4 linked regions of the Struthio camelus genome follow. The protein of the gene in region 3 purifies or fractionates together with the protein of the main gene of each other region. This does not show direct contact. Links are inferred from orthologs where the notes say so. Each region holds a gene or a part of one and is shown on either strand. Other genes may lie near its edges.

The links.
Region 1: the proteins of CSNK1D (region 3) and FAM110B purify together in Homo sapiens (affinity purification with mass spectrometry; 3 studies listed by BioGRID and IntAct, counting the BioPlex papers as one, with this or other methods). This does not show direct contact. The link is inferred for Struthio camelus from reciprocal best matches to the Homo sapiens genes CSNK1D and FAM110B.
Region 2: the proteins of CSNK1D (region 3) and VPS13B purify together in Homo sapiens (affinity purification with mass spectrometry; 3 studies listed by BioGRID and IntAct, counting the BioPlex papers as one, with this or other methods). This does not show direct contact. The link is inferred for Struthio camelus from reciprocal best matches to the Homo sapiens genes CSNK1D and VPS13B.
Region 4: the proteins of CSNK1D (region 3) and FAM83H purify together in Homo sapiens (co-immunoprecipitation; 5 studies listed by BioGRID and IntAct, counting the BioPlex papers as one, with this or other methods). This does not show direct contact. The link is inferred for Struthio camelus from reciprocal best matches to the Homo sapiens genes CSNK1D and FAM83H.

What each region holds. Positions count from the first base shown.
Region 1 is NC_090943.1:136,081,404-136,089,238, forward strand, and holds the start of FAM110B (protein FAM110B), read right to left. Parts: upstream 3,002-7,835; 5' UTR 2,885-3,001; intron 2,640-2,884; exon of another isoform or gene 2,462-2,639; intron 1,979-2,461; exon of another isoform or gene 1,769-1,978; intron 1-1,768. UniProt on the Homo sapiens protein: May be involved in tumor progression.
Region 2 is NC_090943.1:147,101,157-147,108,168, forward strand, and holds the start of VPS13B (intermembrane lipid transfer protein VPS13B), read right to left. Parts: upstream 3,013-7,012; 5' UTR 2,893-3,012; intron 2,220-2,892; 5' UTR 2,208-2,219; coding exon 2,061-2,207; intron 1-2,060. UniProt on the Homo sapiens protein: Mediates the transfer of lipids between membranes at organelle contact sites. Binds phosphatidylinositol 3-phosphate. Functions as a tethering factor in the slow endocytic recycling pathway, to assist traffic between early and recycling endosomes.
Region 3 is NC_090960.1:59,062-66,412, reverse strand, and holds the start of CSNK1D (casein kinase I), read right to left. Parts: upstream 3,018-7,351; 5' UTR 2,603-3,017; coding exon 2,527-2,602; intron 1-2,526. UniProt on the Homo sapiens protein: Essential serine/threonine-protein kinase that regulates diverse cellular growth and survival processes including Wnt signaling, DNA repair and circadian rhythms. It can phosphorylate a large number of proteins.
Region 4 is NC_090943.1:173,551,191-173,559,077, reverse strand, and holds the start of FAM83H (protein FAM83H), read right to left. Parts: upstream 3,002-7,887; 5' UTR 2,755-3,001; intron 1-2,754. UniProt on the Homo sapiens protein: May play a major role in the structural organization and calcification of developing enamel. May play a role in keratin cytoskeleton disassembly by recruiting CSNK1A1 to keratin filaments. Thereby, it may regulate epithelial cell migration.

The sequences.
Region 1 (7,835 bases), on a different chromosome or scaffold from region 3:
TTCCTTAATCACAGTTCAAAGCTACGCTGTCTAATTCTGTGCAGGCTGTAAATTTAAGCCTCAGTTACTAAGCATTCCATTGCAATTAATGGCTAAAATTTTCTCTATGATATTTCAGTGTACTGCTTTTCAATCTAATCATGCCACCACTTGGAAACATACCTATGAAAGCACACTAAAAAAAAAAAAAACACAATAACTTCCTTTTGTTTGCCAGCAGTGTGTCAAATATGCTTCTGGAACCTTGAGCAAGCAAGACACTTTTATATGTATGTATGTTTTAGAATAAATGCAGCTATTTTTTGAAGCAGTTGACTAGTTCTTTTGCCTCATTAAATAAGTATTACCTCTCCAAAGTCTGGAGAAGAACACAAGAAGAACATCAACAAAAAACCACCTCATGTCCACAGCAAGACCGTACCTGTACTAATCATCTCCAGCAACAACCTGGGATCGGACACTGCCAGCACGTCACAAGACTGTAAGCGCTAAGTACTAAAGTAGGACACAGAAAGCACCACTCTGGCAAGGTGACGGTGAATGATCTCTCTATGAACCTGCAAAACACTGTTTACTTCTTAGCTTTAAGTTATAATACAGTACATCTGTGTAGAGAAAATTGTGAATTGCACGAGGGCAATTTTACCCATTTTACAACTGACTGTATTTGCTGGTTATACCAGCAAACCAGTTACATCAAAACAGTAAGTTATATTAAAAAATATATATATCTATTACTAGTACATCTGCATCTACACGAAGGAGCTGCGAGGAGAAGAGCGCAGCACCCGCCCGCTATCTCCTGCCCAAAGAGGTCAAAACCCCACAAAGGGGAAACTCAATATTGACACACAAAATAGCAATGAAAGCAATAAACCACCATGTAAGATTGCCTTGCCAGGGAACGCAGCTCCGCCCTGCCTCCCCAAAGTATACTACAGTATACCCTGAAGGCCCACTGGCCATCTCTGTGCCCCCCTCCCATGGCCATGGTCAGCATGGCTTCCTGGTGGGCACGCAGGGCACTGCTGGTGCCTTCTGCTTTCATGACCAGTCTCAGTAACTCAAGCCAAACATTTACAGAAACGGGGCTTTATTCACCCATCCTCCAAAAAGAAGATGACAGCACCAAAAAGCTCTGCAATTTTCAGAAAAAGCTATTCACTGTATTAGTTGGATGCAAATAAATAATATGGCACTTCTTTACTCTGAAAGCATTTGTAAATGTTTTATTCTGTTAGTTCCAGGTCAGTTTAGTGCAAATGTGTGGTATGGATTACATTGACCCTTTCACAGCTCCAAGCATTTTTTTAATAATTAGGACACAGCATTAGACACAAGTCAAGCTGTGTGGTACCCGGTGGGTGCACACCAAGAACAACAATTGGGCTCCACAGACAGAACCAGGAACAAGTTGTTTGAGAAAACATGGTTCTTATTACACATTCAAGCTCGTATGCCATAAATCATAAATGCCAAATCTGTCCCAATACGATATTAAATCAAAATAGGCATTTTACAGAAGATGGAAGTTGAACTGACGTGACCTTTGCAAAAATCACCCAGAAAATTAGGGACAGATTGACAGACAGAATGAGTACTTAGAGCTAAATGATAAAGAGTTTATATTAAAGCCACACATAATCTTCCTGCCTACAAAACACAACAGTCCTATCATGTTATGCACAAAGGAGGTGTTTCATTTTGTCTTAAACATCCAAATACAATTGCAGACCCTAAATAAAAGCAATAGTAGGGAACAACATACCATTACTCATGAATTCAAGTGTAAGTAAGTTAATGCTCTGATGGCACAGAAGTTAATTCACCAGTGCCAGCTCTTTGAAAGTTGTAACCTTCTCCTCTGTCCTATGAACTCCCATGTGCATCAGAACATAAGACACTCAAGTACGTTTTATAGCACTGTACAACTAAGCAACTTCATTGCTTTCCCTTCATTTGAGAGAGTCATCGCAGCCCTGTCTGAACAAGGGAGGGGGGAGGGGAGAGAGTGGGAGGAGGAAAAAAAAAACAAAACAAAAAAAGAAAAGGAAAAAAGACATTTAAGTGAAATACCCTTGGGATAAGTCTTCCCTCGTGTAAAGTTTTCTTTAGGCCAGATTATCGCTTGGAAACTAAAGCGGTCAGGAGCCCAGCCGCAGCCAGGCTCGACTCCGCGCCGGGCAGTGACAGCTGCGCGCAGACCCTGCGCGGGGCGCGCGCCCGACCCCGACCCCGCGGAAGGAGCCATGTGCTCGGCCCCGCAGCCCGCCGAGAGGGCACCGACGGCAGGAAGTTCACGCTTCTCCTCGCCTCAGGACAATAACTCCGAGCGGCTAAACGGCTTGCTACGTTCAGCTTCTCTCTCCTAGGCCATACACCTTCCCCTGACTTCAGAGGGGGGGAATTTCTCAACAGCCAGCCCACCCCGCCGCCGACCCGACCGCGGGGCTGCCCTCACCTTGGGGACCTTCTGCAGCCGCCGCCGCCGCCGCCACCTCTCCAAAGTTCAGAAGTGATAGCAGTCGGCTCTGTTTTCACGCCGACACCTACGCGGGCCCCTGCGCGGCCCGGCGGCGCCCACGCCGGCCGCCCCGCGCGCCTCCGCCACGGCGAGAGCGGCAGCGCCGCCCGGCGCAGGTGGGCGCCTGGGGCCGCCTCCCTCCCCCCCCCCCCGGCCCCGCACCCCGCCTCGCCCCGGCCGCGCTCCCAGCCCCTTCCCGGGGGAGCCCCCTCCCCGCCCCCGCGGCAGCGGCGGGGATGCGGCGCCGCACCGGGAGGCGGGCGGGGGGGGGGGACGGCTGCGGGACGGGGCCGCGCTGCGCCCAGCCCGGGCCCCCCCCGCCGCCGCCGCCGCCGCCGCCGCCGCCGCCGCCGCCCTTACCTTCCTCGCCAGCCCGGCGCGGGAGCCGCTCGGAGGGCAGCGAGGCGAAGCCGCGGGGAAGAGCAGGGAGCCGGGGCCGAGCGAGCCGCCGCCGCCGCCGGAGGAGGAGGAGGAGGCGGAGGCTCGGCAGCGGAGGGAGGAGACCCGGGGGGGGGAGGCGGGGGCAGCCGCCCGGCTGGCAGCCGCCCGCCGCGCAGCCGGCGCTTCCTGCCGGCACGCCGCCGCGGGAGCCGAGCCGAGCCGAGCTGGACCGGGCCGGGCCGCCCGCACGGCGCTCGGACGGCGGCGCGGCCCGGGCTGGGGCTCGCTGCCACCCGCTGGGCTCGGCCCTCCCGTGCCTGCAGCGTGCACAGGCGAGCTGCCTTTGTTCGAGAAACGCGTGCCCGGGAGAGCAAGGCTGGGCTGGGCTGGGCTGCTGCCGGCAGCGCCCTTTCGCCTCGGCAAGGCTGTTCTTACGGCCCTGGAAAACACGAGGCAGCTCCGCTGAGGGTAATTGGGATCTGTGATGCAAACCTCGCTCACCGGTGCCAAAGGCTGCTGCGGATGCAGCGCTGAAGTCAGCCTACACGCACTGTCTCAGGTGCCTGTTTATGCCTGAGGAGATGGCTGCTGACTCCTCTGTTAAATTAAATTTTTTTATTGCGGCGGGTAGAAGAGAGCGTGAAGGCTGGCTTCTTAGCATTCCGCACTTTGCAGCAACCTGAACTATAAAGAATGAATTTCAGCTCCACCTTTATCCCGTGCTCAGTGTTAGTTCATACATTTTCTTTCACACGTTGCCACTCATTCGCCAGATGATTTACACATCCAGTTGCCCGCTGATGGCTTGAATTCCCTTTTTTGCAAGCAGATCTTTTCAGTGTTCTTTCCACAAACGTCCTCTAACCTCCCCCAGCCTGATTTCAGCTCCTCAATCCAGGTACTCAGGTCAACACTTGCTATCCCTTCACGCCAGTTACAACAGTGGAAAGGGGAGCGATCTCCCTTGCTCACTGCTCCCTTAGTAAAGACATAAACTCTTGTTCAAGGACTTCCCCAAAAGGTAGTTAGACTTCAGCTATCCATATAGAAGGGGAACAAGTAAAGTTGTTCAGCCTGCAGGACCACCTACAAGTGACCATTTAAGAAGCTGAAGATGAAACGAAGCTGGACTGTCCCAGGGTTGTCAAGGCCATGCATTACTGGTGAGCTCCTTGGCACCAGGCAAAGTCACTTTGATGTGGCATGGACCCTAAAGCAACAGGCGATCGATATATTGGTGCAGATAGCTGTTAGCCAGAAATTGTCTGTAAGGCCTGTGAGATGCCTGCTGCAAGGCGTATGCGTGTGGAGTGTGGGGAAGAAGGGAGCACGCAGCACTTGGGCTCTGTGACGTGGCTGGAAAGGAACCTCTGCTCTCTGCACGTATCAGCATGGCTGAATTGGAGAAGGGCAAAAAAACTGTGTCTAGAACCTTGATTGCTGTAGTCATCTTGAGGGGAAAAATACGTTTCTTTCATTTTTTATTTACAAAGACAATAAGGAAATGGGATTGATAGCCTCCTGAGTTTAAGGAAAAAAGTCAGAAAATAGAAAATAACATAGAGAAGCCTGCCCGAGCTGTCAGGCAGCTTTAAATGAAGCCAGTGTGCTAGAGACATAAGCTACATCATGCATCCAAGGCATTACCAAGACCTGCTCACTACATTATTCACTGGGGCAGAAGTCCACACACCAGCCCCACACCCGATGCTGAAGGGAGTGCCAGTCACACAGTAGGAGGTACGTTTGCCATACATTTTATACACAGACATGTCTCCTCATGTGCCGCCGTTAGAGCAGGTGCCAGCGTTTTGTGTGTCATTCTTGAGACTGGAGGAGTAGCCTAATGTAGCTCATCTCCATCGGCATGACAAATTAGATGGTCTGTCCTGGCCAAAAGAGTCCCTGGTCAAAACAGAGGCTTCACAATATTTTAATTCCGGTTCATTATGCAAACATTTTTAAAATCTAGATATGTGTACAGCCCTTCTGTTGTGTCCTTGCTGATGAAACAAAAGCTATCAAGCTGTTTCTTACACTACTAACTTGTAACGTTTTCACTCCCTTGCATCACATGATGGATAGCTTTATTAAATTATGCCACACTGCACAGCTGCTGCCTCTGGGAAGAAACATAGGATAACACAATTAATGTCTCACCTTTTAATTTTGATACAGCTATTAAAATGTGATCTTCAGTCTCACCATCAAGATCAATGACAACCTAGCCACTGTCTCAGACAGATGACCAGCTCATTAAAGCAGCGACGAGAGACCTCCCAGCTGCTCAGCAAAACAAAGATCTTAGCTGATCATGAACACCTACGGACTTCACCATGTTCCAAATCCTGTTAATAAAAACCAGCACCCTGGCCATAGAACAACATTTGGGGACATATTAAATCATTATTCTTGTACGCAGGCCTTTGCATTTTAAAATGCTGCATCCCAAGTGGCTCTGGATTTACAAATAATATCTAAGGTGAGAATCTGATTCTATAAACATGCACATACCTGATTAATCTCATCTACTTTAACAAGACTACTCAATAGGAGTAAAAGAAAGCTTGTGCATAAGAAGTTGGGCTGTCTGGAGCTAAGCTAAGAACCTTTGGAGATGAACAGAAAATTATCCAGTTCCAGTCTGACTCTTTTTTACACTTACCTAAGAACAAGTAATTATGAAAGGGATTAATCTTGTCTGTCCTGTAAAACATTTTGCAGTTTTCGAAGTTGATGAGCTACACAATTTTAAAAAGCCACATACTGATCATAGCTGCCAATTTTTTTCATTGTTCCCCCGAGCAAAACACACTTCCTAAATCCATATTCTTGCAAGAGAGCCCAAGAATACAGTATTTGTAGTTTACTCAGAAATAGCTGATACTATTTACAGTAAAATTGTGTTAACACTGGTTCTCAAGGTCATGTTCTCATGAAGCACAATATTACTGAAGACAAGCTCTGTTCACCTCGAATAACGCGTCACTATTGCTCACACTGTTTGAATGTGCCATCAGCAGTGAGGCTCCATCTCACATCTGCTTCTAAACCGAAAGCCTGCTTGCTTGCATTGAAAGAGAATTTCAGCTATATTTTGACAATCAATATGCCATTCGCAAAGAAGTGAGTCCTGGATCTATCCTGCTTGTGTAAACTTATGTATAATGGTCAAAATGCATTTCAAAATTCAGGCTCATGCCTGAATTACAGCAGCAGTTGTGCTGAATTAACTGTGGTAACTGAAGTACTGACTGCTGCAACTTTCCACCTTGCCCATCTGCTGGGATGGGGATGAATAGTAGCATGTATTTACTCCTGAGTCCCTTCAGTCTGTAAAGCCCAGGAGGTGTGAACTGGAATCAGCAGCAGCCAGCGTTAATGTGCCAAGCTGTAACCTGCAGCAGCTACACTGACAACAAGCATTTTAGTATACTCCTCAGTTGAATCCACAAGCGAGAAATAAATATGATTTTCTGATAGGTAGCCTGTTCTGCCTACTCATCCCACCTCAGCTATACCTGCCAAGATAGGCATCAGATGGCGGGAGAGAATAACTGCTTTAGCCATTGCAGTGGAATATGCCCGGTACTGTGGACCATTGAGCTGCATGTACACACTAAGCAAAACTTTCTGACCAGTATTTCACCAAAACAGATTGAGTTTTCCTTTCCGTCTCCCAAAATGCCCAGCTGCTCTGACAAACAAGATGGTGCAGGACTCTGTAGTCCCACTGGAGGACCTGCACTGGAACGCGGGGCAGTATATTTTTCCTTAATAAGCTTTGATTTCTGTAGGAAAGTTGGACAGTCTGTGAGCAATGTGTTATTGGGGGCTGTTAACGCTGCAAGTATTTAGGTGTGCTGGGAAAAAGTGTTTTTCCAGTATTGTCTGAACTGTGGGCTAATGGCAGAGGAGAGCGCGGAGAGTTAAACTGGCTCGCAAGTGCTATCGTGTTGAAACCAGAAATGAGCCAGCGACTCCCTTCTCCACTCCCTGAAGTTCTCAGCTCTATGTAAGAGGGCTCCCAGTTGTCTTCTCTCCATCACTGCATTCTCCCTGTCAGCTTGAATTTGGCTATGTTCAAGATCCAGCGCAAGGCATTAGCTTTATTCTTCTCTGCTATCACTTTGGGCCTCATATATGAGGTTAACGCTGTATTGACTTTGCAGCGTTAGAAGCTGCATAGCCCAGCCTACACGGAGGAACTGAAAGGTGTGAGGACATGACTATATCATTTGACATATTGCCTCAATCCATGCAAGCAGAGGAACGGAGAGGCAAGTCTGCTCCTTTTCTCTACACACACATACTTTGGGTGCTTACACCCATTACAGCTGAGCCAGACAGATATCAGTTCTTTAATTAGGCTTGTCCTTTTAAGTGCCCCAGGAAAATTATTATAGGAAATACTATATGATTGCCCAAGAACAAATGAGATGTGGTTTTAAACACCCTTCATTACTAACGTTGCATAAGCAGTCTAACAATCAAATCTAACAGTTTGTTATCATAGTTGCAATCCCTTTGGCTTAGCAGCAACAAGATGAATAGCTTGTCATATCTGTTCTCAGCAAATAGCTGCTTGCCTTTGTGAACAAAACTGTCAAGTCTGATTCTCCATACACATTTGAAAATTATATCCATTGGTTGTGTGTCCTACAGCATACTTAATATGCTACCAGTGGAATATTACCTTCATAGCACTTTTATATGTTACTGAAGTCATGATATTGTCAAATAACAAGTACCTTGGAAACTATGGCTTGACTTCACTAATGTCTCCTATGGACCCCTGATGGAAAACATGACTATTATCTCATTTACAAACGTTCAAACCTAGCATGTAAATGCACTCCAAGAATGATTGCTTTGATTACTCCATTAAACAAGAATCACATGACCTTATAGTAAGTGATTTTTTACTTAA
Region 2 (7,012 bases), on a different chromosome or scaffold from region 3:
GTGTGTACTTTGGAATTCTGGTTGGCCTGATAACAGGCGCCCCAGCATCATCTGCGCAACTGCAAGGAGTCAGGGGAGAAAACACAGATCTCTTCCCAGATCTGATATAAGGTGCTTTGTCCCGGTAATCTGTCAGCTGTGCTAATGTTCCCAAACAGTCATGTATAGCTCCACAGAAGGCTGGAATCTTCCAAAAAATATTCACAACTCCAGACAGGCTTTGGACACAAATGCATATGCCCTTGATATCACTAACTCATGTAATTAAGTCTGCATTCATACCAGATAAAGAGCAGGGAGTCAGGATAGAAAGGATTTTAAAAGTAAAGATAATCACAGGGAAAGTGACTAACTTTGGATATCCTGGCTCCATAGAGGTAGACAACCCAAATAAAGTAACGTATACTGGTAACTTCTACAGACTTTAGCATTTTAAGCAAGTTCCCTGCCAGCCGCAAAGACTGCGGGATGCAACATTACCATGTACAACATACTGAAAATGAGTTTGGTCAGGCAGGCATAAAGCAGCATCACTTCTGCAAGAGACACCCTAACAACACTCTGTGGGTCCAGTGCAGGCTCCAAAGTGTTGTAAATGCCAACTTCAGACCACTGCATTTCAAATAAACACTTAGCTAAACAATATTTTTAAGAAATTTGTTGAGCTCAACTTTGCATTCACTACATACTCGCATCCCCATTCAAGCCAATTTGAGTTGAACAAAGGTATGTGAAGCAAGATTTGCTTCATATAACAAGAGCTAAGACAGCAATACACTGCACTGGATATCTATATACCCAATTATTAGACAGGCAGGCAAAGAGGAGGCTGGGGGCACCTAAGCAGCAGACTGCAACTTTTTGAAAGGCAACTACACAGATGACACAGGCAAACTTTTAGTATGGTCAGGTAATACAGCAAGCCTAATACATTCATCTTCAAGTCACCATTTGTTATTAGGACAAACTTTCTCCCTGGAAGCGTACTACAGCACTGGAACAGTTTACCCAAAGAGGAATTTTTCACAATCAAGGCAGGAGATTCCAAGACTCAAGCTGACAAAACCACAGCTGACCTGACCTAATGGTGGCAGCAGTCCTGCTCAGAGCAGGGGGTCAGACTAGGTGACCTCCAGAACTTCCTTCCATTCAACACTTCTTTAATTCTAGGACATATACATTTAAAAATTCTCACCTTATTTTATCCAAAATTAAAACACAATCATTGTCTTTTTCAGTCTTCTTTCACAGGCCATATTGTCTAAATCTCCTATTACTTTTTGTTGCATTTCTCGCACCTCCTTCTGTTGGACTACATCTGGACCCAGGACTCTAGCTAAGACTCGCTGTCCCACGTGCAGTAGAGAACAGCTTTATCTGTCTCACACACGCAACTCCTCAAGCTATGAGCTCAGATAAGGATAGAAGGAAATAGTCCCTCAAGGTAAGTCTTACCCTGTTCATATTAACCACAGGCTCCAAAATTTGATATCAGGTGTTTTATTTCGTCAACATTCTCTTTTTAAGGCTAAGTTTTACAGCGCCTCTGAATGAATTCACGCAAATTAGCTGATAAAAACTATCTACTTGACTACTGTTATGTTTAGACACAACTGGAATGATAAAAATTGGAGTCATAAAACACTATATAGAACAAGAATCTGTGTTTAGTATGCATAATTTAAAAGAGGTCCTACTTCAGTTTGTTACATTTTGAATTAGTTACTATAGGCAATTAGTAAAATAAAACTGGGAAAGCAATTTAAATGTTTGTACTGTAAAACAATGCTCACTGAAAGAAGAAACGTGTACGTAAAGCCTTTCTCTTCACGCTCCATAACGTGCAGAATATGCAAAAGATTACCATTCATAATTAAACAAATGGCATGGAATTAACACAAAAATAACTAAATGAGAAGGGGGGAAAAAAAGAGAGAGATCTACATAAGAAGAAACACCATGAGTAATAAATGAATGTTTATCTGTGCAGACCAATGTAAATTATTTAGTCAACTTCTTTTAAATCAAAGACATATTGCATAACTGTAAACATATCATACCTGTTCAAGTACGTCCAATTTTAACTCCAGTTTACTAAGAACAACATCTCCTCCCCAGAGCGATAACTGTAGATCTGAAGGCTTTAAGTTTTTTATGTAGCGATTCACATAACTCATCAAAATAGGAGTTACATAGGACTCCAGCATTCTGGAAGATTTCTGTATTGCAGGTAAAGCACCAGGGAAAAGAAACAAAACAAAACAAAAAAAAACCTTTGAGATATTACTTACAAATCTGTCAGTATAATTTACAATAAAGCAACAGTCACATTGTTTGGCAATATGAAAAAGTATATTTCAAATTCCACTTTCTAAACAGAGTATGTGCGCAAACACATATACACAAACCTACACATAAAGACTATATCTATTTCAAGACGAAAACAGATCTACTTGCATTCATTAATTTCCAGCTTATATATATTAGAGCTAGTAACAGGCATGTTTATAATCAAAAGAAAAAAAAACAGAAACACAGAAGCAAGAGGACAGTTTACCACGCTTTCACATAAAATTTAAGAATTATTACAGGTAGATCCATACAAGCCCTGCCACTTTTAACTAGTGCGGGCCACACTAAAACATCACCTGAGAAACATGTCACCGACGTTACACCTCGAGTAACATACACCTAGCAAAAACGCCGTTCAGCTTGAAGCCACCCTTGCTTCGGGGCAAACCAAAACACGCCAGAACCCGAGGCGAACCTACGCTACCGTTTGACACCGCTCCCCCCCGACCCCCGCCCCGCCGCGGACTCCCCCCGCCCCGCGCCTCCCTTCCCCTCCACCCCCCGAGGAAGCCTCGCCGCCGCCGCCGCCCGCCCCCTCACCGCGGCGGCGGGGGCGCGGGAGCCCCGCGCGGGCTGCCCCTCCGCTCCGGCTCCGCCGCACAGGCACTTCCGGGTTCTGCGGCGCCTGTGTTCGCCTCCAGCGTCCGCCGCCTCCGGCTCTGCGAGAGCGCCGGGCGGAGCGGTTTGGTGGGAGCACCGAGGCGGGGCCGGATGTTGGGCTTGAAGCCGGCGGAGCTTCACGTCTTCTGCCAGGAGAGGGCGGGCGGGAAAGGGGGGGGGGGGGCCTGAACTTGGGAGGGGGCGGGGCTGAGGCAGCTCTTGCGCGCGCGCGAGCGCTGGAGCAGGGCGGGGCGGGGGCAGCCGTTAAAGGCGGCGGGCGAGGCGGGGCGGGGCGGTGGCGGCCGTTAGGGAGGTTGGGCGGGGCTGCCATGGGCGGTGGGAGGGGAAAGGCTGGGGGCAGCGAGGAGCGGCGGGGCGGTGGAGGCGCGGGATGTGGAGGCAGCAAAGCCTTCTAGGTCCAGCAGCCGTGTCTGCCGTTTCCTCACGCGGAGGGAGAGAAACAGGCCTTCCCGGTCCTTCTGCCGCGTTGGCTTAACTTACTGAGGTAGAAAACCTGAGGGAGGCTGCTTTGTTTGGGGGGGGGGGGGCTGTAACCCGTAATGAAACGAATCCCAAAGACGTGTTGCTGCCGTTGGCTGTGCGGCTCCAGCCAAGCCCCCTTCTGCAATTTGTCGTTGTGTTGGTGAGAGACTGCAGCAAGCGAACGTTGGGGGTGAATCTCTGTGGTGGCAAACGTGTCCTTTCCCATGTGTTAATAAAGAAACACCTTTAGTGTTTGGCTTTTGAGTGAGGTGCTGCTTAGGTTCACAGTTTTGGAAGTGAGAATAAAGTTAATAATAAAGGAAATAGTAAAGGAAATCTTTGGCTTTCTGCATGCCCAGAACCCTTCTCTATACATGGATTATAGAGAAATAGCCCTCCCCAACAGCCCGTAAAGATTTGATGTCTTGAGGGGTTGTTCCTGCAAGCAAATGCCTTGGACCTGCATCTTGAGGTGCATAAATTAATAGATTCCTTAAGGTTTGGCATGTGGATGATCTGGAATAGAGCATGGGCCTATGTTTTTTTCAGTGAAGTGCAATAGGCAGTGCCTGTAGGCATTGCTTTGATATAGATAATGAATAAGCTCTTACAAAGGCCTCTTCATCTGTTTTTTTTAAAAGGTCTGTGATGTGCCTGTTAAGTTTTATGTTCCTCATGAAAACTTAAAATTCTGCATGTAATCTGTACAGTGCAGTTATACAGCTGACAACAGAGAAGAAAGCAATATCTGGCATGTGAAGTAGGTTCATGTGAAGCAGGGCCTAAACAGTAAAATCTTGAATATCACTCAGACTACAGTGGCAGTATTTCAGTTGAAATCTGTCTGAGCTAATCAAGGCCTTGAGGCTGCAGTACATGATGAGTTAGCTATCCGTTCTGCCTCCAGTATACCCATGAGTTAATCATGAATCTACTGTGGTTTTAGATAAACCATCACCTCACTAGCTATGCCATATTCACTCTTGAATCAAAGCCCATACTTTTGTATACACTTCACAAACAGTTGAAGCAGTGCGGACTGTTTTTACCCTTATGATGAAGGTCACCACTTCCACAGCTCATACTAAAACAGAATTTTTAACTGTTCTTCGGCAGTTTAAATTCACCAACTGTGAGATGTTACCCTGTAACTGAGAGAAGGTAGTAAACAGGTAAGGGATAGAAACATCTTAACGGCATCAGTGATCACTAATTAAGGATGTGCTTCCAACTCGCAATTTCTCTGGTGTTAAGTTTCTTGATGGGGTTCCTGTTCATCACCACTACACACGTATGTCCCTTTGCTAAAATTGTGGGAGTGATGAGTTTTACTGATACAACTTTTTGTGAGACTGCACTGCAAGCCAGCTCAGTGAAATAATCTGTGTTCATAGAAGCAATCTCATTTATAGCGCAGCCTCCCTACGGAGTTACGTTGACACAACAGAGGTACGTGCCAACAGATAAAATGTAATGTTGAAGCACACCCTAAACATGCATCAAAAGCCACTGCATCCAACTTAAAAACATTGCTCCGTTTCTTTGTCTGTTACGTGATTACTTTTGAATGACACATCCAATCAACGCAGGAACGTTTTCTGAAAGTTGGGAATTGAAGAACAACGCCCTATTTATTTTGGTGAAAATCAGTAAACTGGAAGAAGAGTAGGGGAGACACGTAGTGCTGCTGGCAGCTGCTTGGCAGACCTAACGGCTCTGAACAACTCTGTAATTTTCCTGGCAGTTATTAGCATTTCATTGTAACTACCTCCATCTCAGTTCCAGTGCAAGTATGTTGACGCCCTGAATAATTTATTTCCCACAGCAGAAAAAAAATACGAAAAATAAGAGGAAAGGATCATGCGGGAAGCAGTCTTTCTAACAGAGGAAATGAGTGGCATGAAATGAAAGTAGCTGGAGAGAGTTACGTGAGGTCCTTAAAATACAAAGGGAAGAGAGAGTGGTTCACCAGGAGTTTGCAGGGTAACAGGCAGACAGTGTGAGTAATGAACCTGGGCCTACCAAAGCAACAAAGGCACGTCTGCTGCAAATGCCCGTGTAGAGCCACTGCCCGAGCTAACCTGGTTTGTTCAATAGCTCAGCAGTTCAGTGAAACGTGCAGGATGGTTATAAACAAAAAGTGCAGATCCAGTGATATGCACATCTTGCTCTTTCGTGTTGTTGTTTTCTTGAGTAATTCTAAATACATTAAAAGCTAACAGAAATGCATATATGTTAAGCTGGAGAGTGGGGAAAGGGTACACAAGGTTCTGTATCGTTTGGCCACAAGTGAAAAGATACCAGGACTTCCAGCAAATTCTCGGGAAATGTATCTACCTGCGCAAGATGGTATCTTGATAAAAGAGACTATAAGTATTTGTCTAGCTTCAGTGCTGCTATGTGTGATTTGCTGTTTTCTGCAATAGAAGCAGGATCAAGGCCTAGAAGAACAAAACAGAGTTCAGAAAAAAATGAGGAAAGATGAGGAAAGGCAGAGGATGATAGTGGCTATCCCATTCCCAGAGGCTGCAGTCAAGGAGAAAAACAAGGAAATTAGAGATTTCACTAGATAAAAAGTATTGTATAATGAAATTAGATCACTTCTGGCTTTTTTGTTCATAAACTTGAGCCAATCTTTTGAGCACCACTTTGGAAAGATTCCTGTTCTGACCTGGTACTTGAAAGATGTTGTTTTCCAATGTCAGAACTTGGGTGTCCAACTGCCTCCTGTCCATCAGATGGGCCAGGGCAGCGGGGTGAGAAGTTTTTGGACGTATGTTGGTCAGCCTGTTTGCAGGAAGTGAGAGAATCTGAGGTAACTCCCAAGGAGGTTTGGGGGGAAACCTGTGAGGAACTCCCCTTTTTTCACTGAAAGAAGTTTTCTAATCCTGTAAGCTTCTCTTTCACTATGTCTCTTAGCTAACATTGGGTACCTTTAATAGGTAAAGTGAACTGGCAGACTGCTGTTTGTCTGTCCTGTCTGTCCTAGGGGATGTTTCTACCTGTCCTGGTGCGTCCAAGTACAATGGTGCAGATGCAGGTAGTGGCCCGAGGAGCCATCGGTCTACCCATGAAGAAAAGAGGTTGCTATTTTGTGATTCTTTATGTGGCCTACTGAGATGCCCCATAAATGGCATCAGGTTGACAGCACAGAAAGAGTTGGTGACCCTAAATAAAGAATACTGAGATATTTCAGAATCGTCTGTGAAAGAAAAAAAAATGACTTGGGCTGCTTCCTCCTCTTCTCTTTTAGGTGCTAAAACTTGGACTAGCTAATTCGTAGTTTATAATGTTTCTTAACAGTCATTTTTCTGTTTTTACTCTCATTAATATTAAATTTTGCCTGCCCCATTTTACTGGGAATTTCCTGATCATCTGACTAAACTGACTAAAAAGTACATTTTGGAATTGCATCGATAGACAGAAGGAATATAAATCAAATCCATTTCTATTAGAACTACATTATTTAATAATGATGTCGTATTTCTATTTATTACACCATCTAAAGCTGTCAAAGAAGTGGGAAACAAAAAAGTGCAGTGCCATTTTTCTTACTATAGGGTTATTTTCAAGTTCA
Region 3 (7,351 bases):
TTTTCTGTATGGTGCCCCTTGTTTCGTACTATTTAGAATTTCTAGTAATTCGTGCTACTCTTTCATATCTTCCACTGGAGGGTAATCTTAATAGATGCAGGTACATTACATTCCTAAATTTTATTTTCACTAGGTTTGTCTATTCTTGTATTTAAAATAGTGCCTAAGATTATTGTGGTAGAATGGTAGGACCCTACCAATTAGGGGGCATTCCAAATTCCGGAAGACACATTTTGAGGTGCAGGGGAGAATGGGAAAGATTATGAAAGAAGTGTGATAATCAGGAATGGTTAGCTCTATATTTGAAAGAAAAGACATAAAGAAAGAGCCGTCTCTTCTCAATGGACTGTCTTCAACCCCCTGTAACTTCATTAAAGAAACTACAGGAAGACTGGAAAATGGCGGGGGGGGGGGGGAATTAAGCATAAAATTAAATTGGGAACCTGAAATCTGATGAGGAATATTGGAAATCATTTGTACTTCAGAAAATTAATGAGAACTGAGAGGCTTTAAAAAGTTATTTTAATGTAGTTATGCCCTACTGTACAGTTTGAATAACTGAGTAAACTTTATTTTTTTTTTGTTTTAAATGTTTCATATCACACACAGCACAGATTTTAAAAATAACCTCTGTTTTAATAGATTATGTTAAGCAAACAAAATGGGCCTCTATAAAAGACTGCCACATTTCAGTTCTTGAAACAGCAATTACCCCTGGAAAAAGAAATATATACTATTAGCTGGATCTCTCAGACACATAATTCTCTACTAGTTGCTGACTCAATCATCACATTTGCAGGAAGCCCCGAAAGCAAATCCACACTGACTCCTCAGAGATCAAAGAGGATAAAATCTAAGGATGAGCAATTCTTGTGCAAAATGCAGTATGGCAGTAGCTCTGTACTAATAAATACAGAACTATTATCTCCTGTGCAATTTTTCTAGTGTAGGCTCTACGCATGAAGATAAAAGTGACAAACAAAATATCTATCGTTTCCAATCTAGCTACCGCACACAGGACAGTAACAACAGAGTTGCCTGATTTCTTTTTATCAGTTAATTTGGATTACAAATTAAAGTATGAATATACCGTACTTAAATGTGACTGGATTTACCTGAGTAGTCAAAAACTGAGGTAAGAGTATCCCAGGTCAGCTAAGATTTTTCAGATTTTAACTGTTGTCTTAATCTCCACCCAAAACCCTAAAGGTAGCCAACAAAGATTTTGCATAAGCCTTATCACCATTGTTCTCACAGCAGTCTTCAGTCTTTTACATAAGCCTTAGAGAGAGAAAGAATGATGTTCTCTGCCTCTAGACAATCCACAAGCTTTCTGCTAGAAACACAGAATTTCCAGCAGGCATATGTTCTATATCAAGGATAACCAGTATCTGGGTAACGTAAACAAGTAGCTTTCACTAACGTTATTTCAGAACGGCAACTGTGTGCTGCAATACAAAGCACTGTTGTCTAGAAAAAAAAAAAAAAAAGACAGCTCATGTACTAGGTATACTGCCTAATATACTACATGCATTAGCCAGTGACTAATTCTTTTTACCCTCCAGACATATGCAGATAACCTACCATGGCTCCTGTAAGTCTTTTTCCATGTCTTTGGATGCGCCTTCTGAAAGTTATCACAACTTTCAAAAGCAAAATGCTCACTTTCATGTGGCAGTATATAAAATTTACATTTGTCTGGATTTACCTGACTTCCTAAGGTTTGATGGTTTGTAGAACGGAGTGTTTTAAAAACACACGTTTCAGAACTTGTTGTACACACCGCTGCTTATCAAATGGTTAGTGAACCACTAGGATGGAAAGCTACAAAAACAGACAGGAAAAGACAGTCCTAGTCCTGCAAACTTTACAGTCACATAGAAATCACGGTAGCAGAATAAGATGTATGCATTAAGATGTAAGGGCAACATTCAAGCAACAGGATAGCTGAACTATGCTGATTCTATGAAGGGGTTAAAATGTTTTTAGCTCCAATCTAGTCATCCTTAGTTATCTCATTTGTTTAGGCCTCACTGGAAAACCATAATCCTCCCTGTGACAGCAATTTCTCCTAGTCCACTGCAATTATATTTATTGCAGAGGGTCACGTTTCTATTTCAAAACATTTTTCTGAATGGTTTTTCAGATGAAGGGATTGATATCCTTATCCACGTTTTACAGATGAGCAGGTTGACGGTGCCCAAGGTCACAAGACAACAATGGGAAGAGGCAGGCATATAATCCAGAAGTCCCGATTTCCGCACTGTCTAAATTAGGACATGACGCCAACGAAAAATTAAGTTATTACTGCACCAGCGGCAAGGTACCTCATATCGAAAGGCATTTTTTGGTCTGTGCTCCAGCGAGAATGAAATGAGGTCCCGGGAGCAGCCCCCGACCCAACCTCAGCGGGGGGCAGGGTGCAGGCGGGAGCTCGAGCAGCGCCCGGCCCGGCCCGGCCCGGCTCACGCAGCTCTCCACAGAGCGACAGACCCGCCAAGTATGTCCCGGGTAAGCCCTCCTTACCCAGGTAGATGTCCCCAAAGGAACCGCTCCCGATCTTCCGGCCCAGCCGGTACCGGTTCCCGACCCGCAGCTCCATAGCGGCAGCTCGCTCCGTCCGCGATCCTGCCCGGTTGCCCTGTCCACCCTACCGGCTCGCGCTCTGCCGGCTCACAGCCCTACGGTTCCTGATGCCATCGCGGCCTTGGTCCCGCCGCGCGACAGTGGCGAGGCAGGCGGCACCAGCGCCGCAGCTCCGCCGGAGGATGGACGCGGATTCCCCACAGCCCCGACACCTCAGCCCCTGCGGCCCAGAGCCGCCATACTGCGTGACCTCACTTCCCTAGCAACGGGGGTGGGGCGCGCCCGCAGGCAGGGCGGAGGCGCCGCCGCGCGCGAGGAGCCGTGCCGCGCGGGTGCCGGCCCGCGTCACGTGTCCCCCTGCGTCTTTGCCGCGCTGTTTTCGGCCGCCGCTGCCGGCCGTGAGGCCCCTTCGCGGGGAGTCTTTCGCGGCGCCACTGGCTGCTGCCGCATCGCGCCGCATCGCATCGCGCCGCGCCCTGGGCCGGCCGCCCCGCCCCAGCGGCCTGCGTCGGGCCGTGCCGGACGGAGGGAGCGGCCCGCGGCCTGCCGCGTCCCTCTTCCGTAAAGACGTGGGAGGCTCTGCGGTGGAGGTGGCAGTCCGGCTGTGCTGAACTGGGTTCCGAGGAGTATTGGTGTGACTGTGCGGTGTCTAGAGCAAAGTCTGAGTCATGTCCATCAGGCCCTGCCAACTTCAGTGGTGAAACGGCGATCTGAGTCATCCCTGCTTGTGAACAGTGTCTGGACCACTTCTGTGGCCTTCTGGGGGGTAGAGGGTGACTTGAGTGGGGAGAACCACCTGTGTCTGTGCGGGTGTGGGAGACGAGTGGTGGGAGAGTGTGTTTCTGTAGGCCTATTTTCTCGTTTTCTTGCAGCAATGCTGCTTGAAAGCACTGCTTTTGACTGGCCAGTGGTCCTATTAAATTGGATGAATCAAGAAGTAGCCTTGTCTGATGGCACCTAGGGAGCTGCATTTGCAAGTGAAGAGATAGACTGTGAAGCCAGCCCCTGGTGTGAGCACAGGGGCTGCTGAATGAGCATGGCTGGGCTGCAGATGACAGTGGACTGTGATGTAAGAGCACTGGGAGTGCTAAGGATGGTGTATGTGCTGGAGGTGTGGGGTGGCAGAGGGATGGAAAGTAACGGTTAGTAGGTTTCTTGGCAAAGAGTCTCTGACTGCCTCTGACTACCTACTACAGTTGTTTCATATACTGTCCATGTGCAATGGCAAGGGAGAATTTTTCCCTCTCCTGTAACTGAGCAAACTGTAAAGCCTGTATCTTGGAGACACTTGCTTCCTGCCACTAATATTACTGAATTGCAGGGTTTTTGGGTTCATTCTGCCTGGGTGGTGCGGCAGGTCCCAACTGCGTGGGCAGTGATGCCTGAGTTGTGTGCCAGGCCTAAGCTGCAGCTGCCTGTCTAGCAAGAGCTGCAGTATGCTGCTCAGAGATGAGAAGTGGAGCTGAGCAGCAGGACTAGTCTAGATGGCTACCTGTGTTTTAGTTGTTAAGAGCCTGCAGTGTAAGTGCACAGTGAGCAGTAGAGTCAGAGGATGCATGCATTAGGCAGCTCTCGGCACCATCTTGCCTCATCAGTTGCAGGGCAGAGTATACGGTGCCTTTCCCTGCACGAGCAAAGTCTGGGTCCTGCTTCATAGAGAATGATCGAATACCAGAACAATTGGTTTCTAGTCAGGATGTGTTGTCACAGAGAGTCATCTGGGTGACCTGGGGATTGTCCTGTCATGTGCGGTGGAAAGGGAGCATGGCCTCATAGGATGGCTGGGTTGTGAGCAGGTGAAGGTTAGGGCTAGGTGAGGGCAGCTGGGATAATGTGCTATGGAGAAATATGGAGATAATACGGAGAAAAAAATGAGCGTTTTTTATTCCCTGATAGGAAGAACAAGGTGGTTAGTGCCTATGGAAATCATGTGCAAGTACGTGTCAGTTTTGCTCAGGGAGTGCTTGTAGAACACTGCAGACTCAAAACTAGAAGGAATCTTTTTACTGAGCCGTCTCTCTATCATGCATGGGATCTCTGGGTTTTGGCCCGTGGCAGTGCTGAGATGATCGTGGTTCCCCGCGACGTCCTACGCCAAGAGGAAAAACTATGCTGTGTGGTACGTGCTAGAACGGATAAAAGCAGAGTAGTGCCCTTCTTGTTGTACGCATCGGGGAGCACTCTGTGTGCCCTTGGCATTACGGGTGTCCTGACTGTCTGGGCAGAACTAGTAGCAGAAGCACATATGCAGTCAGGTCAAGTGAGGCCGACAACCAGAGACAGGGAAGGAAACAGAGCTCTGTTAGTTGGGGTAATGAAGCACATGTACAGGTTGAGGTGTGAATTGTGAATTGCTTGGGTCGCGTCAAGTTACATAAGGCAGTGAAGGTTTAGGGCGCAATGGCAGAGGCAAGGGGCTCTACTTGTGTTCATGAAAATGCAAGCTGCGTTGGTTCCTGCTTAGGTAAACAACTTTGTGCATGCGGAGGAAGCTGCGGTGCTAGTATGGAAATGGAAATGGACAGGAGGCTGTATGTAATGCATTAAAGAAATGTCTTTTTTTCCTCCAGTCTTGGCCTTGTTTCTTTTGCAGTAGGAGGCGAGCTGAAGATAGGAGTAGAACTGTCGGTCACAGCTGACTGATGGAGTTTCCAGGTTGTGCCCCTGATTTTCACCAGTGTGCTTGTGGGTATATTGAGGGAACAGTGACTCTGTTGGAAACCCTGGGATGAGTTCAGCAAAGTGTGGGAAGCTGCATGGGAGGCATGGCAGGGAATATGGACAGAAAGGAGCTTGTTTCTCGGGAGTGAGGATGTTTGCGTGGGAAGAATGGGCCAAAGGGTGGAGTTATCGGCAAGAGATGCTAATGCAAAGGCCAGAAAAATCTAGGGGGCAAGAATTGGTTGAGGGAAGAGGCTTACTGTGCAGAATGAAGTGATTTCTGAGTTTGTTTTTTTCCAGTAGCAGGATCAGCTAGGATCAGCTGGTACCTGTCTGTGTGAAAGAACAAAGTGAGTGTCCATTAAGGTGAAACAGGGTTGTGATGTAAGCTGTTGGTTCTACAGACTGCTGTGTGGGGTCTTGACTGAGTTATATTCCTGTGACTGGAGCTACAGAAGAAGCGTGAGAAAAGTTGTAAAAGTTCAATTTGAATAAGACACAATTACTGCCACCCCAGGTTAATTACTTGGGAGTTGTAATTGGAGAAGCAGGAAGACAGATGCATAGAAGAAATATTAAAGTCTTGTATGTAACTGAGTGACATTTTGTTATGCAAATAACTGGATAGCGATGGGGAAATTCCAAACATACAGTTTTACTGGAGAATACACGTATGGCAGAGCAGGCTGAAGGTCTTAATTGTGTGTCTTGTTCAATGTTACAGGTGCCAAAGACTGGATGACGCTTGGCAGAGGCGATCAGCAGCAGAGGGAGAATCCTGTTGATTCCTGTTGTGGCTCAAGTAACATCAAACACCTCTTTGCTGAGTCGGTGACTCAGGCACAGGGCTGTGGGTGTGTAATCCAGGCCACTCCTGCTGTCTGTTAGTCTGCAGTAGTGAGAAAGCATCCCATGTCTCTCACTGTCCTGGCCAGACTCAGTCTCCTGTTTGAGTTTTGTAGAGTCACAGCACTCCATGTTCCCATCCCAGTAAGATAAGCACAAGCTAGCCCTTGACTGCAATTTATTCTCAATTAATGCAAATGATGTTAGATTCCATTAAGGGAAACAGCAAGGCCTGGCCAGGCAGCCCAAAACCCGCTCGGCTCCATTGCTGGCACTGCTGGATGTCAACGTAGCTCATGCTGTATTGGGGTCCCTCTTGCTGCCCGCAGTGTGACTGTGGTGACCCCACAGACCCCAAATACTCCAAAAACCCTGCCCAAAGCTCCTCCTAATGCCCAAATGACCCAAATCCAACTCTCCACCTTTTCTTCCTCTCCCTGTCACTGTCCAGCTCCCTGTCTCCCCCCCTCCCCTCCTTCACTCCCAGCCCTTTTGTTTGGTGCCCTGTAACTCTCTCTGGCTCCCCATCCTTCTTATTCTCTTGCCGTGCTGCTGTTCTGTTCACCTCTCTTTTCCACCCTATCACTCTCTCCCTCAGTCTGTCTCCCCAACCGTCTTGTCTTTGCTCCATCCTTCTATCTGGCACCCCTTCCCACTTTTCCTTGTTCTGTACCGCTGTTCACCTCGATATCCCTCTTCTCCTGCTCCCCATCCCTCTGTCCATCCCTTTGTCCATCTGTGTGGCCCTCCATCCCTCTCTTTCTGTCCCTCTGTCCAGCTCCCTGTCCATCTGTCTGGGTCTTCATTCCTCTCCTCCTTGTTTCCATCCCCCTGCCCAGCTCACTATCACTGTCTTCCTCTCCCCTCCATCTGGCTCCCCATCCCTCTCTTTCTCTCTCCATCCCTTTGCCTCTCAAACCCTTCTTCCCTTTCCATTCCTCTCTTCCCCCCACCCCACCCCATCCCTTTGACTGCCTCTGTATCCCTTTCCCTTTTCATTCCTCTCTTCTCTCCCCTCTCCCGCCACCCCTCTCGCCTTTAGGGCTGAGATGGAGCAGATGGAGTGTGCACCCTTGCTCTTGCAGGCACAGATGGCCTGGAGGTGTGAGGAGGTGGGCTGGCTCTCGAGCAGGATTTTGGCATGGCATCCCCTTGGGGGGGGGGATAGCTCCTCTGTAGCATGTGCACCCAAGGGTGTTGGTAAGTCACTAGAAGACAACAAGCAGCTGCCAGTTATAGAGCTAACTGTTTCTTTGCC
Region 4 (7,887 bases), on a different chromosome or scaffold from region 3:
TTCTGTTTGAAAGATGAAAATATTGCAATTGGTTTTTCCTGTTAAAATGTCACATAAACAACCCAAAGCCTTCTCTTCTGGTCATCTGATCAGCCTCTACTGATCACCCTAAGTTAGAGCATCTGAGTGAAGGCTGTCCCATTCTTCACTCTAGATGGTTTTGCACGAATCACAGCCATCATTTAAAAAAAGGATATATCTGCCTGCTGTAGTCTAGGAGTTTCATTCTATCTGAAGTCATGGTCATCAGATGAGAAATTACTTGAATTCATGTAATCACGTCAATCACTGAGCATCCAACAGATTACCATTTTATCTTCCATATTACGTGCATTTGCCAGCTAACCCTATGGACTGGTATAATAAACTCTTTCAGGGTCCAAGGGGAGCAGTGAATGTACTGAATACTATAGGCATGCAGCAGAGCAGAACTGGGAGCCTAGTCAGCACATCAGAACCCCTGCTGGACTCCCACTTACGTCTGCTTTTTAGTCAGTGCAAAGGATCCCGCAAAATGTTATTTGCTGGAGAATCAGGAAATTACCCAGATATTTAGAATGTCCAGGGATCTACCTACAGGCCAGAGGAAGAGAAAAGTAGCAGAAAAATTACATGTCGTAATTTTCCTTTTGAAGTGGTTGTTGAGACAGCATGTCAATCCTAACTGTCTTATGCAATAAAGAGTATGCAGTGGCATGCGCAAATCCAGGAGGCAGACAGCCACTAGGGCAAAACCTGATGTTTACAGCTAGTTACTTTCTGCACACTGAAAACTGGGGAAATTAGATTCTGCATGCAAAAGGGGCCTCTACAGAAAGCAGATTACCTAAAGAGATAACAACACTCATGCAAAGCTTACCCTATTTCAATCAATCCCCTTCATTGGATTTATATCTACTAAAGAGGAGGTATAAGGAAGTCCATAAGAGAACTGCAAGAAAAGGTCCACCAATGTAAGGTATAGTTTGCAGAAGGAAATTCCCCACTGCGTGCTGCCCTTGGCCTTTTACCCTCCGCCCCCATCCCCAATTACATTGTAGAAAGCCACTCATGGAACTCCTTCATTAGGGCTATGATAATCCTGCCAAATGGGGTCTGATAAGCAGTTGAAAAGTGTTCCATTTACCCATAAAATACAAAGAAGTCCAATCCTGCAAGATTTTGACGTGGATTTTAGTTGCTTAGAAAGTTGTGACTACGTGAAAAATGAGGTAGAGAACATAGATGCCTCTGTCCTGAGCCATGACAATGCCCTGGCACAATCAGACCAGACTGCGGTGCGTGGCATTTTCATTTTTTACTTTGATATGCGATTTTCTCTACAACCACACAGTTATTGTAACTTTTGTTCCCCACCGAATATCACCATTTCCCCTGCCAGGTGACAGCAAATACAGCTCTTGGTCTCTCAAATACAATTTTCTAAAGCCCCTCAGATAAAGGGGAGCACACGGGAAAAAAATCTTTCTTCCCCCACCCTGAAGTCCTGTAGACCTGTAACATGGTGAAGGCATGCTATGGTTTTTCTGTCTGCTTGCTATTTTACTCCTTGTCCAATGAATACACATATTATTGTAGGCTATGCCAAGAAATCTGGGGCCACCAGTGTTCTGCACTGTATTTGTCACTACTCTGCTTTGGAGCTAGTTTGTTGCTTAAAGCAGTTACTCATTTATCTTTGGCCTCTATCACAGCTGAGCTTATTGCAGCTTTCATGAATTAAATGTTTTCAGCAGAAGAATGTCACTGTAAATACTGCTGTTCCTCTCCAAGCACCTCCTCTCCCTCTAACTGTTTCAGAAAATTGAGAAGCTTGGTCCTCGGGCCAGGCAAAAGCCACAGTTGAACTCCATTGACCTTAATCAATTTAGAGTGCCAGGAACACAAGACCTTCCCCTTCCTCTCTGTGCACATAGAAAACCTAAGCTCTATCAGACAGGCTCATATCTGTGGAAAAAAGGTAGTGAGTATATGCGTGTGTGCCTGTGCATGCATGTGTCCATGCGCATCTGTCTGTGCTTTTGCATGTACGCACACGAATGTCTGTGTCGCTGCTTGCAGGCCATGTCAGCAGGCAACTACACACCCATGCATGTGGAGCGAGGTCAATGCAAGTAAACGAGCAGTGGGCCTCAGTAGCTGTTTCCTGTCTCCTTGCCTACCTCATGCCTTGGCCTTTCCAGCCCTACCACCAGTGAAGTCCTCTTTGTCCCAACCTCCTGAGCAGATGTCCCTACAGTGTTTCCTACTCAAGGAGAAGGCCAGCTCCGACTCTAACTTGGGATGCAGAGTCAGGCTGTCTGATCTCCTCCCAAGGACAGGGATAAGTTAGGAAATAGCCACTCCTCGGGGCTTTTTCAAAGGACATGGACACAGGTTTGGTGAAGTGCTCACTGAGCGGTTCTGCTCAGGCTACCTGAAGGCTGACAGGTCTCTTCCCTCGCCAGCCACGATGCCTGCCATCTCTGCTATGACATGCTCCCTCCGCCCTTGCCTCTGCCATCTCCTCCTGGGACTCACCCTGTCACACCAGGGCAGTCAAGGCATGGCTGGCAGCTCCTGCTGCCAGAGCTTTTCCCCCTTGCAGCAGCAGCCATCTCGCCATCTCCTGTCCCAGACCGCTTGCAGAGTCCCAGCCCCAGATCCCGAGCGCCCAGACCTGTGCAGAGGGGTCAGGACAAGGCCTCCCCAGCCCCTGCCTGCTGCCCCATGTGGCCACTCACGTACCCCAGGGGGTGCCTGCACTTCTCCTACCTTCCCAGGTGAGCCAGGGCAGGTGGTGGGTCGTGCTCTCGGCTCTCCGCTCCCCTGGACGTGCTGCCTGATTCACAGGCACCTCCTAGCCAGCGAGACTCAAGCTCCACCCAGGGCAGAGGGTGAGTAAGAGCGAGAGAAAGGCAAACTCTGGAGAGTTGTTCCCTCCCCAGGATTGCAGGGGAGCGAGAGATAAGGGCTGCACATTCCTGAGCCGCAGGCTGCCTCTCCCCTTCCGTCTGCGCTGAGCCTGTCAGACCAGCTCGGGCCTGGCTCGCGGAGCAGGCCGGGGAGCGCGGCCCAGCACTGGCGACGGGGCGCAGACCCTGTCGCCTCCTTGGCCCAGGCGCCGCGCAGCCCAGCAGCCACCTTGGGAAGGAGGAGTGGGCTCGGCAGGGACTCTAGGGTCTGCTCTGCCTGCGGTTTGGCCTGGCTAACTGGGCAGTGGCAGCATGGCAGCAGGAGCGCCTGGGGGCGCAGGGCCCACGGCCTCCCTCTGCCGGGGGGCGAGGTGGCCGAAGGGCATCTCAGGGTGTAGCACCCCAGTCCCTCCGTCTCCCTGCTCCCCACCATGGCCCGTCGCTCACACCCTGGCCTCACTGACAGAGGAGCAGCCGGGCTGGCACGGCGGCCTGCTGGCATGGGGAGGGAGCAGGCCTCGCCCTGAGCCCAAGGGGGCCGGGGCCGGCTGCTGGCACAGGCAGAGAAGGGTTAAGCGAGATTCCCCGCAGCCCCGGGCGCGGCAACGCCTGTTACTTTGCCTTTCATGTTCTATCTTATTCAGCCTGGCAGCCGGGGCGCTGCTGGTGTGCCGGGCGGTGCCCGACCGATGGCGGCTGCGAGGGCGGCGGCGGTGACTCAGGCCCGGGCAGCCCGGTTCTGGCGGGCCCGGGCACTGCAGCGCGGGGCGGGCCGGCGCGGGCGCCATGTCATGGGCGCAGCGGGGGCCACGCTGCTGCCTGCCGGGCCACGGCGGCCCTGCCTCCCTCGGCCTCACAGAGCTCATCCTGCCGGTAGCACCTGATTGCCTGCAGCTGAAAGTTGCACAGACAACCAGAAGAGACCCTACAGCAGGAGACAGCGGAGGAGGGGGTCTAGGTGTTTGGTGGCTGAGGGACAAGCACTGCAGAAAGACCTGCCGCACGCGTGGTATTGTCAGCGTGTAGCGAATACGCACATGCAGAACAGCTAGTGCATACCCTCACATCCCATGAGCTGCACTCCCAAGTGGTGCTTCCTACCATCTATTCATGTACCTGTATGATAGGTTAATATATGTATTATAAAACGTAGTTTAATATTAAGGTGCCATGGTGGGGGTTCCTCAGAATTTGGAAAATAATCTAGATTAAGGTTGTCTAAGGGTCATGAATCTGTTGTCTCTCATTTCTGCCCAAAAGTATGTGCATCATGTCACAGCTTTCAATCGTCCTTTACTGTGTTGCCCTGGGCATTATTCACCACATGCATTTAAACACCACATTGAACAGAGTTATTAACTTCCATGTAGGTGTTGCCATGCTGTTCATCAGTATGCTACTGGAATGCTTCGCAAATATTAATTAACTTCTCAGTACTCAATTGGACTGTGATGGTGTGATTATCCCTATTTTGAAGGAAAGGAACTGGAGCAGGAATATTAAATTTAAAATGGCCCACTCGCTTTCAGTGCTTAGTTCAAGATTTCAGGAATCACACCTTTTAGAGTCTCTAGCAAGTGGGGATATAAGGAATGCAAAGTGGATGGCCATCTATACAGATAGACCATCTTAATTCCGTCATTTCCTAATCTTTCAGTGATTTCAGCTTCAAGTATCTGCTTTCCAGTAGCACATTATCGTGTGAATGAATTCTCTACTGTGTCTTATTCTTTTCTCTTCCTCTGCTCATGGCTATAATTGTGTATATCCTAGAATATTTTCTTTGATAGGGCTTTTATGTTCTGTTCTTGTTTACAATCTGGAGGTTGCTAACTTTGTTAGAAAAGGCAAGATCAAAGAAGTGTGTTTTGAAATATAAGTAGGAATAAGCAAATTTGTGCTCTGATAGAAAGTGCTGCTGTGCCACTGGGATGGTTATGACAGTCTCTATCACAACCTAGAATATCAGGTGATTTTTGTATGTTCTGTGTGCACACCTTGAAGGTAAGGAACACAGCTTAGAATTTGGTGTTTATCCAAGAGAAGACAGTGCAAAGAGTACTTGGCCAGTTTGATGTTCTTGTGGTTAACACATTGCTAAGGAAATATTCTGTTGTATTCTGTGAAGTTAGTCTCTAAGGCCTGATTGGTTCGTGCAGTTGTTCAAAAGCCTGAATAATTGTGGTCAAGTCATCATCCACTGGGATGGGATGGAATCCTCTAGATAATCAAACACAGGAAAAAGTATTAGTCATTGTTGCTATTACCTGAGAGTTTAACTTCAGAAAGAAATCACAGAATACAGTCATAGAATAACTTAGATTGGAAGGGACTTCTGGGAGTCATCTAATCCAGTGCCCCCATTCAATGTGACCAGATAGGTCAAGTTGCCCAAGGCCTTGTCTGGTTGGGTTTTTGAGTATATCTGAGGATGGAGATCCCACAGCCTCTTTGGGCTCCTATTCCACTGCTTGACCACCCTCATGGTGAATTTTTTTTCTAAGCTCTAACTGGAATTTCCTTTATTGCAGCTTATGTCTGAGAGTGTGATAATATATCTAAACTACCCTGATTGCTCCAGTTGTAGGTGTGTACCTTCAGCCAAGGAAGTGTACAGCTCCCTCAGCACTCGTGGGTGTATCCCCATCCGGGCCCATGGACTTGTGGGTGTCAAGTTCGCCTAAATGATCTCTAGCCCAATCCTCCTCGACCAAGGGAAAGTCTTCCTTTCTCCAGACTTTCTCCCTGGTCTCTAGGGTCTGAGATTCCTGAGGGCTGGTCTTAGCGATAAAGACTGAAGCAAAGAAGGCGTTCAGTATCTCTGCCTTCTCTGTATCCTTCATCACCGCGGACTCTGACTCACTCAGTAGCGAGCCCACATTTTTCCCTAGTCTTCCTTTTGTTCCTGATGTAATTGAAGCAGCCCTTCTTGTTGTCCTTGACATCCCTTGCCAGATCTAATTCCAAATGGGCCTTGGCCTTCCTAGTTGCATCCCTGCATACTTGGACGACGTGCCTGTATTCATCCCACGTGGCCTGCCCCTGTTTCCCCCTCTTGTACGCTTCCTTCTTCTGTTTGGGGTTTGCCAGGAGCTCCTTGTTCATCCATGCAGGTCTCCTGCCCACTTTGCTGGACTTCTTGCTCATTGGGATGCACCGTTCTTGAGCTTGGAGGAGATGATCCTTGAATATGAACCAGCTCTCTTGGACCCCTCTTCCTTCTAGGGCCCGATCCCATGGGATTCTTCCAAGAAGGTCCCTGAAGAGGCCAGAGGTGGCTCTCCTGAAGTCCAGGGTTGTGATCCTACTTGCTGCCCTGCTCCCTCCTCACAGGATCCTAAACTCCACCATCTCCTGGTCACTGCAGCCAAGGCTGCCCCCAACCTTCACATTTCCAACCAGCCCTTCCTTGTCTGTTAGTATAAGGTCCAGCAGCACGCCTCTCCTCATTGGCTCCTCCATTGTCTGTGTCAGAAAGTTATCATGAATGGTCTCCAGGAACCTCCTGGATTGCTTGTGCCTTGCTGTGTTGTTCCTCCAGCAGATATCAGTGTGGTTAAAGTCCCCCATGAGAACCAGGGCCTGTGATCGTGAGGCTACTTCCAGCTGTCTGTAGAAGGCCTCATCTACTTCCACTTCCTGATCAGGTGGCCTGTAGCCAACACAACAGTGTCACCCATGTTAGTCTGATCCTTAATCCTTACCCATAAGCTCTCAACCCATAAGCTCATCGCCCATCCCTAGGCAGAGCTCAATACATTCCAGGTGCTCTCTCACGTAAAAGGCGACTCCCCCTCCTCTCCTTCCTGGCCTGTCCTTCCTAAAGAGCATGTAGCCATTCTTGACAACATTCCAGTCATGCGAGCTATCCCACCGTGTCTCTGTAATCGCACTGAGATCATAGCCCTGCGACTGCACACAGATCTCTCATTCTTCCTGTTTATTCTCCATGCTGCATGCATTGGTGTACAGGCACTTCAGAGAGATATTTGAGCATGCTGATTTTCCAGAAGGGGTGCAAGAGGTTTCCCCATAGTCTTGTCTTGTAGGCACTTCCTTGTGTGCCTCAAACGCTTGAGGTATCCCCACATGAGCCCTGTTTTGCTGACTGCATGGTCTCTATAACTCTCCCCTTTCCCTGTCTTTCCTAGTTTAAAGCCCTCCTTACCAGGTCGGCCAGCCTGTTGGCAAAGATGCATGTGCCCTGTTTAGTGAGGTGGACCCCCATCTCTCCCAGTCAGTTGTAGATCATCAAACAGGGTCCGGTAGTCACAGAAACCAAAACCCTGTTGCCGACACCAGCCAGTTGTTTACTTGCCATCAGTATCCATCTACTCCTCCTCCCATCCTTTCCCCTCACTGGCATGATTGTGGAGAAAACGACCTGGGCCCCCACACCCCTGACCACTGTCTCCAGAGCTCTGTAATCCTGTTTGATACTTTCCAAGTTGCTTTTGGCAGTATCGTTGGTTTTTATTTATCTAACATCATAACCTTCATTTGAATGTTGATTCAGTTTCAATTAAATGTAAAGACAAATAAAAACAGGTCTGTATCTAAAATGCTCACTTTAAAAAAAAGGAGAAATCCTGACAAATTAAGAGAGAGTGCAACTAGTCAGATTCAGGATTTCAAGGACTTGAATATGAAAGGATCCTGGAATTTCTTTAAGACAAAATTGCTAAAACTGTTGTTCAGCGCTGGCAGCAGAGAACTGAACTTAATTCAAAGGAAGGTTTTTTTTTTTTATGATCAGACATAGAATAAAGTCTCCTTTACTTAGCAAAACAAAATTTAAAATTGCATCTTTTCACTGGTTCTGAGATTATTCAGGAAAAATATTGTTGGTTATCTCCTGTGTGACCGCTTAGGCCCATTAGCCTATTATGCCATTATTGCTTAACTGTTATTACTACCATCTGTTTTCCAGGCTGTGTTTGGGAAGTTAAATATTTCCATAATTCCCAATGGCATTTTTCTCTCTTAATACCTC